Arabidopsis thaliana: one gene and its partner. The protein of the gene in region 2 interacts with the protein of the main gene of each other region in a pairwise test. Each region holds a gene or a part of one and is shown on either strand. Other genes may lie near its edges.

Region 1 (5,507 bases), 7.8 Mb from region 2:
GCGGCAATAGTGAAGCGTAGGAGAAGCAAATGTGTGTAGAACAAAGAAAACCAAAAAGAAGGAATACAACGTAACACCAGAAAAGCAATAAGATTGTTGTGGACTCATAATTACTTTCTGTGTGTATGTGTGTGCAGTGTGTGGTAAGTAATAGGTTATGACTATGGCTTCTGAGTATGCCTTTAATAAGAAAAAAGGAAAATAAAAACACTTCTGGAGTTTAGTTCTTGACTTCGAGAACAATCTATCGTGTGAACTCGTCGGACTTCTTATCCTCCTAATTCTTCATGCATCTCTGCTCAGTGATTTGTGCCACTGGTCCATATAGACTACTGATTGACTCATTCAATTCTAAATTATCCACCACATACGTTTCTTTTTGTTTTTGTTTATCTACCACATACTATCTTGACTTGACCTTGTCGATCGAGTTCATTATTTTTTATTTCATTTTTAATATTCTGAAAACTATGTTCCTAAAAACATGAGGTACGCAGTTTCATGAATTCCAAAAAAAAATTGTCGATTAGAAACAGTTATTAAAAAAATGTAAACTGTATGACCTTGCAGTAGTAACAAACTTAGTTTCTAATCTACTAAGAATGGAAGAAATAAAAACTGAGATTGCTGATAAAAGTGTGTGACAAGTTGCTGTTATTATGAGACAATTGTTGTACTCTTGAGCTCTATGTATGTTTACAATAAAATAAAAGTTTATGTCTACATATCTCAAAATCATCACAAAATTTAAAAGGAGGAAACAAAAGAACGAAAAAGAACAAGATTTAAGATACAGCTTACTAAGAAGGTGATTAAAGATCAATCGATTTTAACCGAAGAGTAGATAAGCCTGGTGAACCAAAAGCATGCGTAGAAACCAATTGCACCAGTAAAGACGAAGAATACGTATGAAACTATGAGCATGTACCCAAAGTAGAGCACTGCAGAGACGAGCTTTGTGATCTCAAGTTTGGTGTAGAAGTAAAAGACTGCGTAAAGAAAGAGGTAAACCGCGGAAGAGCCTGATGTTAAGTAAGATCTCCACCACCATTGATAGTCTTCACTACACAGCTGAAAATAACAGAGGACGACCGTGATCTCTGCGCAAGTGATGATCAAAATGATGAAGACGATGAAGAGGAAGCCGAATATGTAGTAGAACTGATGTAGCCATATTGAGGTGAGTATGAAGAAGAGCTCGATGAAGACTGCGCCAAATGGGAGAATGCCTCCAATCAAAATGGAGAAGATTGGGTTCATGTACCAGGCCTGTGTTGGGATCTGCCGCGGGATCTTGTTGGTTTTCACTGGATCTTCCGGTGCAGGTTTTCTGAAACCAATGTAGCCACCGATGAAAACAAGTGGAACAGAGATACCAAACCAGAGGACAACCAAAGCAAACATTGTACCAAATGGGACTGCACCGGATGATTTTTGTCCCCAGATTATCGCATTAAGGACAAAGAAGGCGACAAAGACGGTAGCGGGAAACATGAATGCGGTTTTCAGAGCGTTTCTTTTCCATTCGGTTCCTCTTAACGTCTTGTAGAGGCGTGAAGACGCGTATCCTGCCAATAGTCCCATGAAAACCCAAAGCAAAAGCATAGCCGTCATAAGACCACCACGGTTTGAAGGAGATAAAAAGCCAAGACAAGCAAAGATCATGGTGACAAGAATCATTCCAAAGCATTGAACTCCAGTGCCTGCATAAACACAAAGCAACTCCGGGTTTGTTGGCGGTCTGAAAACATCTCCGTGTACCAATTTCCAACCCGTCTCTTCGAGGGCCTCTTCATGACTCTCTAACTGATTGTAGTTGGAAATATCTCGGTAGAGTGTTCTTAGCATGATCATAGCGACCATACCAGAGAGGAAAAGAACAATCATCATAGAATTAACGATTGAGAACCAATGAATCTGATCATCAGCCATTAGAAGGTAAGTGTCCCACCTAGACGCCCATTTCACCTCACTTTCCTGGAAGTCAACATCATATGTGAAGATAATCTCGTTCCCTTCTTCAACCTCCTGAGGAGACTCAGAGTTAGTGACTGCACGCTTTGTATGCGGATCACAAGTCGTTAACCGAGCCTTTTCATTCCATTGACCTTCATATTCATGTTTGACACTGCATCGAGATAAAATCAGTAGATGTTAGTCGCTTACACAATACAGAGTCAAAGTCCTTAAATCACAAAAAGCTACCTGAACGGCTTGACTTCAAAGCCAACGATTCTTGAAGAATCGGTCTGTATATCTCTGTGATACCTAACAGTGAAGGTCAAGTGGTTGTGGATAAAATACTTCTCCTCCTTTTTCTACAAGAAAATCAAATAAATAAGAACTCTTTCCATTGAAACATATTCAGAAAAGGTGATGATGAGCTCTTACGCCAGCAAAGATTCCCTTGAGACCAACATGGAAACCATGCTGATACACTACAACATTGTCCTGATCTGGCCTTTGCACCGGAACAACTAGGGGAAGGTTGTCCAAAATCCTGCATAAGAAATCAATCTTCCTCATAAAAACAGAAGAAAAACAAAACACATTCAGTCGAAGGCGACAAAATCAATCTCCTCACATGTTAACTCGATATTCATCAGCAATCTTCTCCTTAAACGCCTTTGCGGTTTTCTTATCAAGCTTCACACGACAAACCGCAGCACACATCTGCGATTCCCTCATTTTAAACTGCAACAAAGAAACAAACAGACATTAAAAACAACTCAACAACTACCACTTAACCAAGACAGATAGAGAAAGAACCAAGAAGAAACAAGAACATACCACAAAAGGAGAGTTCTCAATTCGATCACCACGAAGAACTTCACCGAGATTCTCAGCACTATCAACAATATGTTCTGGACGACAATAAGGAAGAGAATAATAGGAATATGGAAGCTGAGTCTTTGTAGATGTCAATTTATTAACTTTCACCATCAATGCATCTCCCTGAAAAACAAAACCATAACTCCAAAGTTTGAACCTTTATAGATAATGACCATTATACATTCTTCTACTCCAAAAGCTAGATTCACACAGAAACAAGTCTAAACAATGGCTAATACATATAGACTAATGAAACATTCTCTTTAAACACAACACTCAGTGGTAACTGAAGATCAAAATTACCCAAATCTCATAAAACAGAGCCATAGATCCAATTTTAACAAGATTACTTGATCGATTGCGTTGGATCTAAATCAGAAAAAAATCTAGACCCAGTGTGAATCAAAGCTCTAAGAAGAAGCTGCATTTGTGAAATACAGATACAGAGATGATTTTATGTGGCTGACCATTTGGAAATCTTGTGGAGCGACGCCGGGAAGGTAAAATCCATGGATATGGACATTGAGGGAGAAGAATAAGACAAGGGTGAAGATCAAAATCCGAACTTTCGCCATGGATTTGCTCGATTTCGTCTTCTTCTTCGGAGAGTGAAATTTCTTAAATGAAGGAGAAGAGAGTGGGAAGAAACATGGCAATTGGACGATTTATGGCCGTTGGATATTTTAGTATCTCGTTTGATTTAATCAACGGTTGAGATTTCCTAAGTTGGAGCTGTCGGTGATTCTTCTTCTTAAGGTAATGAAATATCAAAGTCAACACTTTTTAAGGTAAAAAAATAAAACTTTGAATAGACAATAATTAAAATCAAAGTCCAATTTACGAGAAATCTAATTTTTAAATAAGGAAACAATTTTTTTTTTTTTTTGTTAATTTAAGTAGATTAGATGAAACTTGTAAATGTAGCAAAGTAGAAATGAGTTAGTGTGGAGGATACGAAATAATTATGAAAAAGTATTCAAAGAATAAAAGAAAAAAATGGATTTAAATCAATTAGAAGACAAAATCCATTTGGTAAATGAAGGTGACCTCTTAACTATTCTAGCAGATTATGAAACCTTACACACACCAGCAACCACCTTGACATATAATTAAATGTACATTACCAATAAATACATGTAAGAAAAAAGCACACACACACACAATACAAATCCGCATTAGATAAATGTAAGTCTTTCTTTTACAGACTGTTTTCAAATTGAAAACGGACGGTTTTCTTCTGGAGATAACTAGTCCGGTATAAATGTAAGCATATAATAGTAATCGCGGAAACTAACTTCTATTATTTCTATTCTATTATAAAGTAAAAGCAGTCGTTGGCAACACAACATTAGAATAATTTGAAAAGATAAGAAAAATTAACATAGCATTTGATATGGGCCAACTCTTTGATGATATTGGGATCGGGAACATGGACTTTGGTATTCTGAGGTATAATATAGTTTTCACGAGTAATGTAGGCATTGTCGTGTGCACCACCTCCGAAATAAATGATTACAAAAGTTCAGTATTATAAAAAATGGTCTAGGCGGTCGTTTACACTCTATCTAGGCACTAGACTCTCAGGTAACGCCTAAATAATCGCTTCGATTGTCTAAAATAACATAAATTGCCATATTTTCTATGTTCACTTGTCCATTTATTATCAATTTTAGGGTCTAAATGATTGTTGTGGTTAAGGTGGACAAATTCGTTTGTGTATTTGACCACGTTTTATTTACCATTTCACAAATTACTTCTGTGTGGATTTAAAAAAGAAAACTGATGCGGATCAACCACATACCGTTTTTACATATAAATAGAGTTGGTTGCGACGGTTTGTTGTCTACTTTAAAAATAGTTCGGATTAAACCATTGACGGATTTATCCATCTTAACTGCCGTAACCATTCAAACTTGTGAGATGAGAGAAGTAACAATCAAAAATACCAATTGATTGCTCGTATCTTACTAGAATTACTGACAAATTCTTCTATAAATGCAACGTTTCTCAAAGAATCTCAAGGTTAAGCTTATTATTGACACTTATATAAACTTCTATTTATTTATTTATTTAAGTAAATAATCAAAATTGCATGAGCATGTTGGCTATAAGAGAAAAATTGCATGAGAATGGCATTCTTATAGATTGATGAAATTCGATTGGTCGTGATTGGATATTCTATACAAGAAAAAAATATTGATACGCTGAGGTAGTCTAAATAGATTATAGTGTTTCATAGAACTAAGAAGGAATTATCGAAAGCAGTCTAATACTTTTTTAATCTTTAAATCATTTGAGGTTCGGGGTTCACGACGAGTGCAACGAACATGAAGACAGACTTTTTTTCTTCAATTTCATCAAACTTTTTTTTTCTTTCTGTTTTATATGCTTCTGCTTCATCACCCTTTTTTCTTTGGGTTTTAAATGTTTCTGGTTCATTCACCTTTTTTCTATGTGGCTTAGGTGCTCCTATTTCATCTCTTAGTTTTCTTTCCAGTTTTTTAGGTCCTTTTGGTTCATTGTTAGCTTGTTGTCGTTTAGATTTAGCATTTTTCAACTTAATGACTTTCTGATATTCCAGATTATTAGATCTAAAATACTCGGAGTCAAACGAATCATATCAGTAACAAAATACAAAACTAGTCACTACTTGCGAATCAATCAAACAAAAATAA
Region 2 (6,224 bases):
TGAGATGTCGTAAAGTATTAGTCTTACCAGAAAAAATGGTTTTTTGGACCTTTTTGTTTTGCACCTTTGTCGAGTTGTTCTTTTCGTTTTTGCTTCTTTTATATATACTCAAGTGTTTTTATGTGACTTATGTTGCCGACAGGTGATTGGATCAGCTGTAGATAAAGATCGGATTCCTGGAATTGACATACTTCTGAAGGATAGTGATAAGTGGATGTTTGCTGGCCATGAGGTTCGGATACTTGACACTCCTGGCCATACACAAGGTTTGTAGCTGCCATAACCTCTACTGTAAAATACTAAGAACACATCTATACAGTCAAATATTGCCAACGTTAGAAACCTTTGGTGGATCACATATTAGTATCTTATTTGTCATTCTAATTTGTTATCCTCAATACATTACTGTGTAACTGCTCTCCTTTTTTATCGTTCTAGTGTAGTACAACTAGTAATTAATGTATACTTGGTGCCATGTTTTATCACTTAACTGTACTTATTCTCAAGCAGGCCATATTAGCTTCTACTTTCCCGGGTCAGCGACAATATTCACAGGAGACCTGATATATAGCTTATCCTGTGGTACCCTTTCAGAAGGTACCCCTGAGCAGGTAACATCAATTTCAAAAAGCAATATTTCAACCTTCTCGACCCTTGCACTGTTATGATTATTTTCTTGTGGCAAAAATTGTGCCAAGTGATTTGTGGTTTTCTAAATCATGTTTCTTTTTCAACCTTCATATCTTTTTACTGTTATGGTTACTTTCTTGTGGCAAACTGTGCTGAGTCAAATGGTATAGACTTTATGGAGAGATCACTTGGGACTTGGGAGTACTCTAATAACCGTACATTGTAGTTTCTTTCACAGAAGCAAACTTATTGTGCTCTGTCCTTTTTAACGAGAAAACCTTTTTTGCCTTATGACTCAGATGCTTTCATCACTCCAAAAGATCGTGTCTCTACCAGACGATACAAATATATACTGCGGCCGTGAAAACACAGCAGTAAGTTCCACGCACATAAATACTCTTAATTCACATTGTTCAACTCTCTTTTATATCTCCTCCATGATACAGGGCAATCTCAAGTTTGCTCTATCCGTAGAACCAAAGAATGAAACTCTTCAGTCCTATGCAACTCGAGTCGCCCATCTTCGCAGCCAGGGGCTCCCATCGGTAAAACCTCTTATCTCTTCCCTATCTCCTCTTTCTCTCTAAACCTCTCTCTAGATTTCATTTACTTACGGATTTGTTGTCTGTAGATTCCAACGACTGTCAAGGTTGAGAAAGCGTGTAACCCATTCCTCAGAATATCGAGCAAAGATATCCGAAAATCTTTAAGCATTCCAGACTCAGCAACCGAAGCTGAAGCATTGCGTCGTATACAGAGAGCCAGAGATCGTTTCTGAAAACTTGGGTATATTTTCTTATTTGTATAGAAAAATTTGCAAGTCAATCATCAGCTGCAAAGATCAATATTTTATATGTTTTGGGCTTTCTTCAGTTATCATTTGAAGTTGTGTATTCAACACAAAAAAATCTAAATATTTAGTTTAAACTCAATTATTAAATTATGAGATTTTCAAGTGTAATGAATGCTTCAACATACATACACAAGTGTATAGATAGATACGGTTTAGTTTCTCTCTACAAGTGCTTACCAAATTTCTAACAATGGAAATCATATGTTTGGTGGATTGATGGAATTGGCTCACCAAACGTGAAAACGCAACCGTGCGTCTACGATTTAATATTAGCTTTACTAGATTTGTTTGTAACCAAGGAATAATTATACAGATAATTTACATAAATTAAGTCAAATCCATAGATTTATGGCAAAAAAGTGTGAATATTAAATTATAATTACACAGCCGAAGAATAAAGGAAAACGCTAAAAGGTTGCGCGAGTGGAGAGTCTGCCCGCCAAGCAACCCCTAGTATTCAGCTTTTTGTGCACTGATCCAACTCGACTCGGCCTTTTTCTCTGAGTTGACTCGACCGAGAAAAGGCGATAGAGCTGGGGTTTAATTCGGCGATAACAATGGACGAAGATTCCGTCCATGGCGATTCTCACCTCAAGACATGTGTCGTCCTCGGCGGACGAGGGTTCATTGGTCGATCGCTTGTCTCCAGATTGCTTCGTCTCGGAAACTGGACAGTCCGAGTCGCAGATTCCGGTCACACTCTCCATCTTGATGAATCCGATTCGCTCCTCGAGGATGCTCTCTCCTCCGGCCGCGCTTCTTATCACTGCGTCGATGTTCGTGATAAACCTCAGATCGTTAAAGGTTTTCCTCTTATTTCCTGTTGCACTTTGTTAGATATGACATTGATGGATCGGTTTTTGGTATCTAGAAAATGCTATGGGGGAGTGTTTGGCTATTTGAGATTTTCGGGTTCTGATTTGAGTTTTGGTGTGACTGTTTTGTTCCTTGCAGTTACCGAGGGTTCCTATGTTGTATTTTACATGGGAGCTACTGATTTACGTTCCCATGATTACTTTGACTGCTACAAGGTTATAGTTCAAGGTAAAGTTCTTAGTCACTTCAAGATGGTTTACCATTATATTAGTTAAACTTGGGTGGTTAATCGATTTCTCGTATAGGTACAAGAAATGTGATTTCTGCCTGTCGTGAATCTGGAGTCAGAAAACTTATCTACAACAGTACAGCTGATGTTGTTTTTGATGGTTCCCAACCTATACGTGATGGTGATGAATCCTTGAGACGTCCTTTGAAGGTAATCCTTGAGCATGTTTGTTTAGTTGGTTTTTGTCGTTGGTCTTTTTCAGAGATGATATCTGTTTTGCTCTGATTCTCTTGCAGTTCCAATCTATGTTGACAGACTTCAAAGCTCAAGCAGAAGCGTTGATCAAATTGGCTAACAACCGAGATGGTCTCTTAACTTGTGCACTTCGCTCTAGCATTGTATTTGGACCTGGTGACACAGAGTTTGTACCTTTTTTGGTGAATCTAGCCAAGTCCGGATATGCAAAGGTCTTACTATTAGTTCATCCCATTGTTGCGTTTTTGCGTCTACGTTTATTATCTTATTATACCTGGTAGTATTCCTTGAGCTTGATGCATTCTTAGTTTTCCTTTTTTGGAGGAATGACTGTCTTAGTTTTTAAAATTTCAGTTTATACTCGGGAGTGGTGAAAATATCTCTGATTTCACTTACTCGGAGAACGTTTCTCATGCACATATTTGCGCCGTTAAAGCATTAGATTCACAGATGGAGTTTGTGGCTGGAAAGGTAACCTCTTTGAGTCAAAGTGTATTTGCCAAATCACTCCTGAAAGCGCATGAACTTTATATGTGATGAATTTTTACTGTGCCGACTTTATGTAGGAATTTTTTATCACAAACCTCAAGCCGGTCAGATTTTGGGACTTTGTAAGCCATATAGTTGAAGGTCTGGGATACCCAAGGTAAATAAGCATCCGAACAGTTTTTGATACAATGAAACTTGCTGTGAACTCCTTTTATCTTTCTGTTTCCTGATTATCAATGTAGCATGGGAAAAAGGCTCCTCAGAACTTCTGAACCTACCTTGAATGTTCCCTTCTTAAAGCAAAAGATCTTAATTTTCTGTTGATAGATGTCCTGGAGACATGTCTAGAAGAACCGTTTCGAGAACAGCCATATTCAATTAGTTTTTTTAGATATAAACTATCTATACATGGTGATTCGCTGATATTTAGTATTTTATACATGGTCGTATATGTTTCCTTCTCCTATGTCTTAAATATTGATCATTTTGAAAAGTTTTAGATCCTTAGAGCTAACTTTCTGGTTTACCTGTTTTGATATTTTTTTTTCCTCTTTAATTGCAGACCATCCATTAAACTTCCTGTTCGGCTGGTTTTGTATGTTTTCTCACTTCTTAAGTGGACACATGAAAAGGAGGGCCTTGGGAGTAATTATGACACAGCACATCAGTATGCTCTGTTAGCTTCATCAACGAGAACTTTTAACTGCAATGCAGCTAAGAAGCATCTTGGTTACACACCTGTTGTGACACTTGAAGTGAGTTTGTTGGATAGTATTTTGGCTTTTTGCATATTCAGCTGCTTAGTACCTTCCTTGGATTTATTAGCTCTTGTTGGATTTGTAGGATGGTATTGCATCAACGCTTCAATGGTTCTCTCGGGATCTTGAGAAGTCTGATGACACAATCATTCAATCTACTGCAGATCAGCTTCTTGGTTGTGGGAAAGGTTAGAACCATCTCGCTATTAACAATTATAATGCCTTTTTGAAGTGTTCTTGGCTAAGTATTCAGTTGTATTGCTTGAAGTCCGCATCTCATCTAGCTATGGATATGATGATGCATGTTCACAAGGCTTAACCTGGAAAGAATCTATCTCTATTTTCAACTTAGATTTGTTTGCTTCTAGATGTCTAGAACATGCTGAAGTATCTGCTTGGTTAATTTACATCTTCTTCCAGTCCATGTAATTTCATGCGAGTTCCAACTTTATTTCATGCACATATAAACAAACTCAAAGCGAATCTGGTCAATGCAAGCTTTTAATATTAATCTCTTTAAACTGACTTAGCTTTTCATCTCTATGTTCTCATGCAGTTGCAGACATCTTGCTGTGGAGAAATGAGAAGAAAACCTTCGTTTCTTTTCTTGTCCTAAACTTGTTTTATTACTGGTTCTTCTTTTCTGGAAACACATTTACTTCATCTGCAGCCCAACTTCTGTTTATATTTGCTGTTGCTCTCTATGGAGTCTCTTTTGTGCCGTCAAAGATGTAAGTATTGGTTCCAGAACTTTACCATTATAGAAGGCAGTGAAAATAAGTTGTGATACCAAAATTGTCCTATCAAAGGATGATGCACCCATGTATATATATTTCACCTTTGAAATCTATATGCAACTAAGTGACAGATTGATTTATTTTGACAGTTTCGGGTTTCAAGTCAACAAAATACCCCCATGGAGATTTGAGATCTCCGAATCCGCTGTGAGAGATCTTAGTAGTGATATCGTAGTTGTCTGGAATCAAGGAGTTCGCAGTTTTAAATCCTTAAGCAGTGGAGGAGACTGGATCAAGTTCTTCAAGGTACAATTCTACTCTTTATGCTCACCAAACATGAAAAATATCTCATTGCTCTCGTTTCCTAAAACAAAACATAAAAACAGATTGCAGGATCACTGTATCTCCTCAAACTGATTGTATCCCGTTCATTGGCAGCATTTCTTTTCACAGGTACTCGAACAAAGCTTTTGTTTTCACACTTCATAAACATGATTAACAACTTCATAAACATGATTAACAACTTCTTTATCCATAACATTTTCTCTACGCTTTGCTTGGACAGTTATGTCGTTCTCATTCACCGGTTTCTTCATCTACGAGCAATACGAGCTTGAGCTCTACCACCTAGCCCGGATATTCGTCGAATGCTTAACATTTATTAAAAGGATGGTGATACCTGTTTCTGATGCTTCATCTAAACCAATGTTCATGTGAAGCTTCCAAAGTCCTCCACTAAACGAACACCAACAATCCCAGAGACTAATTGCAGTTATTAGATGTCTTATGTACAAACATTATGCTATCAGGATGTAATCTTCACTGAGAGGGGATGGATATATGATTATTTACGAATTTGCCATAACTACTATCAAAATGCACCGTTTTGATCCGGTTTCCAAAAAAAAAAGAAAAAAAAGGAAAGTATCCTTATATATCCTTTAAAAGCCGCCGCTTCGATATTCCCTGGCCTCTCTTTCTCTCACAATCTAATCTTCTTCGTCTTCAAACTCAATCTAGGGTTCTCTTCTCCTCTCTGTAGGTAGGATTTTGAACACCCAAATCTCTCATCGAATTTTTCTTGCTCAACGTATCATCGCACAATTCGTCTCTCGTTTTCCGTCACGTGGATAATCGAAATCTCATAATCCCAAAGGTAAAACAATCAATTCTGGGATTGGAATTTTGGATCCATAGGATCGTCAATTGAAACAATCCCGATGGCGTTATCTATGAAGCCATTCAGAGCCGATGATTCCGGTTTCCAGTCAAACAATCTTTGGGTCGGTAGCCTAACGCCGGAGACGACAGAGTCAGATCTGACCGAGTTGTTTGGAAGATACGGCGATATTGATAGAATCACGGTGTATTCTTCACGAGGCTTTGCGTTTATATACTACAGACATGTGGAGGAAGCAGTCGCAGCCAAAGAGGCTCTTCAAGGAGCAAATTTGAAT

What was found. The genes of interacting proteins can lie anywhere in the genome.
Region 1: the proteins of AT2G43420 (region 2) and AT2G24170 interact in a protein complementation assay, tested with the Arabidopsis thaliana proteins (one large-scale study listed by BioGRID).

What each region holds. Positions count from the first base shown.
Region 1 is NC_003071.7:10,273,488-10,278,994, forward strand, and holds AT2G24170 (Endomembrane protein 70 protein family), read right to left. Parts: upstream 3,780-5,507; 5' UTR 3,702-3,779; intron 3,635-3,701; 5' UTR 3,408-3,634; coding exon 3,300-3,407; intron 2,956-3,299; coding exon 2,791-2,955; intron 2,695-2,790; coding exon 2,585-2,694; intron 2,501-2,584; coding exon 2,392-2,500; intron 2,319-2,391; coding exon 2,206-2,318; intron 2,129-2,205; coding exon 820-2,128; 3' UTR 612-819; downstream 1-611.
Region 2 is NC_003071.7:18,030,753-18,036,976, reverse strand, and holds AT2G43420 (3-beta hydroxysteroid dehydrogenase/isomerase family protein), read left to right. Parts: upstream 1-1,794; 5' UTR 1,795-2,040; coding exon 2,041-2,287; intron 2,288-2,437; coding exon 2,438-2,527; intron 2,528-2,604; coding exon 2,605-2,738; intron 2,739-2,824; coding exon 2,825-2,995; intron 2,996-3,137; coding exon 3,138-3,254; intron 3,255-3,349; coding exon 3,350-3,429; intron 3,430-3,834; coding exon 3,835-4,027; intron 4,028-4,115; coding exon 4,116-4,218; intron 4,219-4,586; coding exon 4,587-4,761; intron 4,762-4,916; coding exon 4,917-5,073; intron 5,074-5,153; coding exon 5,154-5,220; intron 5,221-5,332; coding exon 5,333-5,484; 3' UTR 5,485-5,709; downstream 5,710-6,224. Other genes in the region: GLX2-1 (glyoxalase 2-1), read left to right, coding at 143-266, 511-611, 930-1,004, 1,077-1,175, 1,262-1,408; FPA (RNA binding protein), read left to right, coding at 5,988-6,224.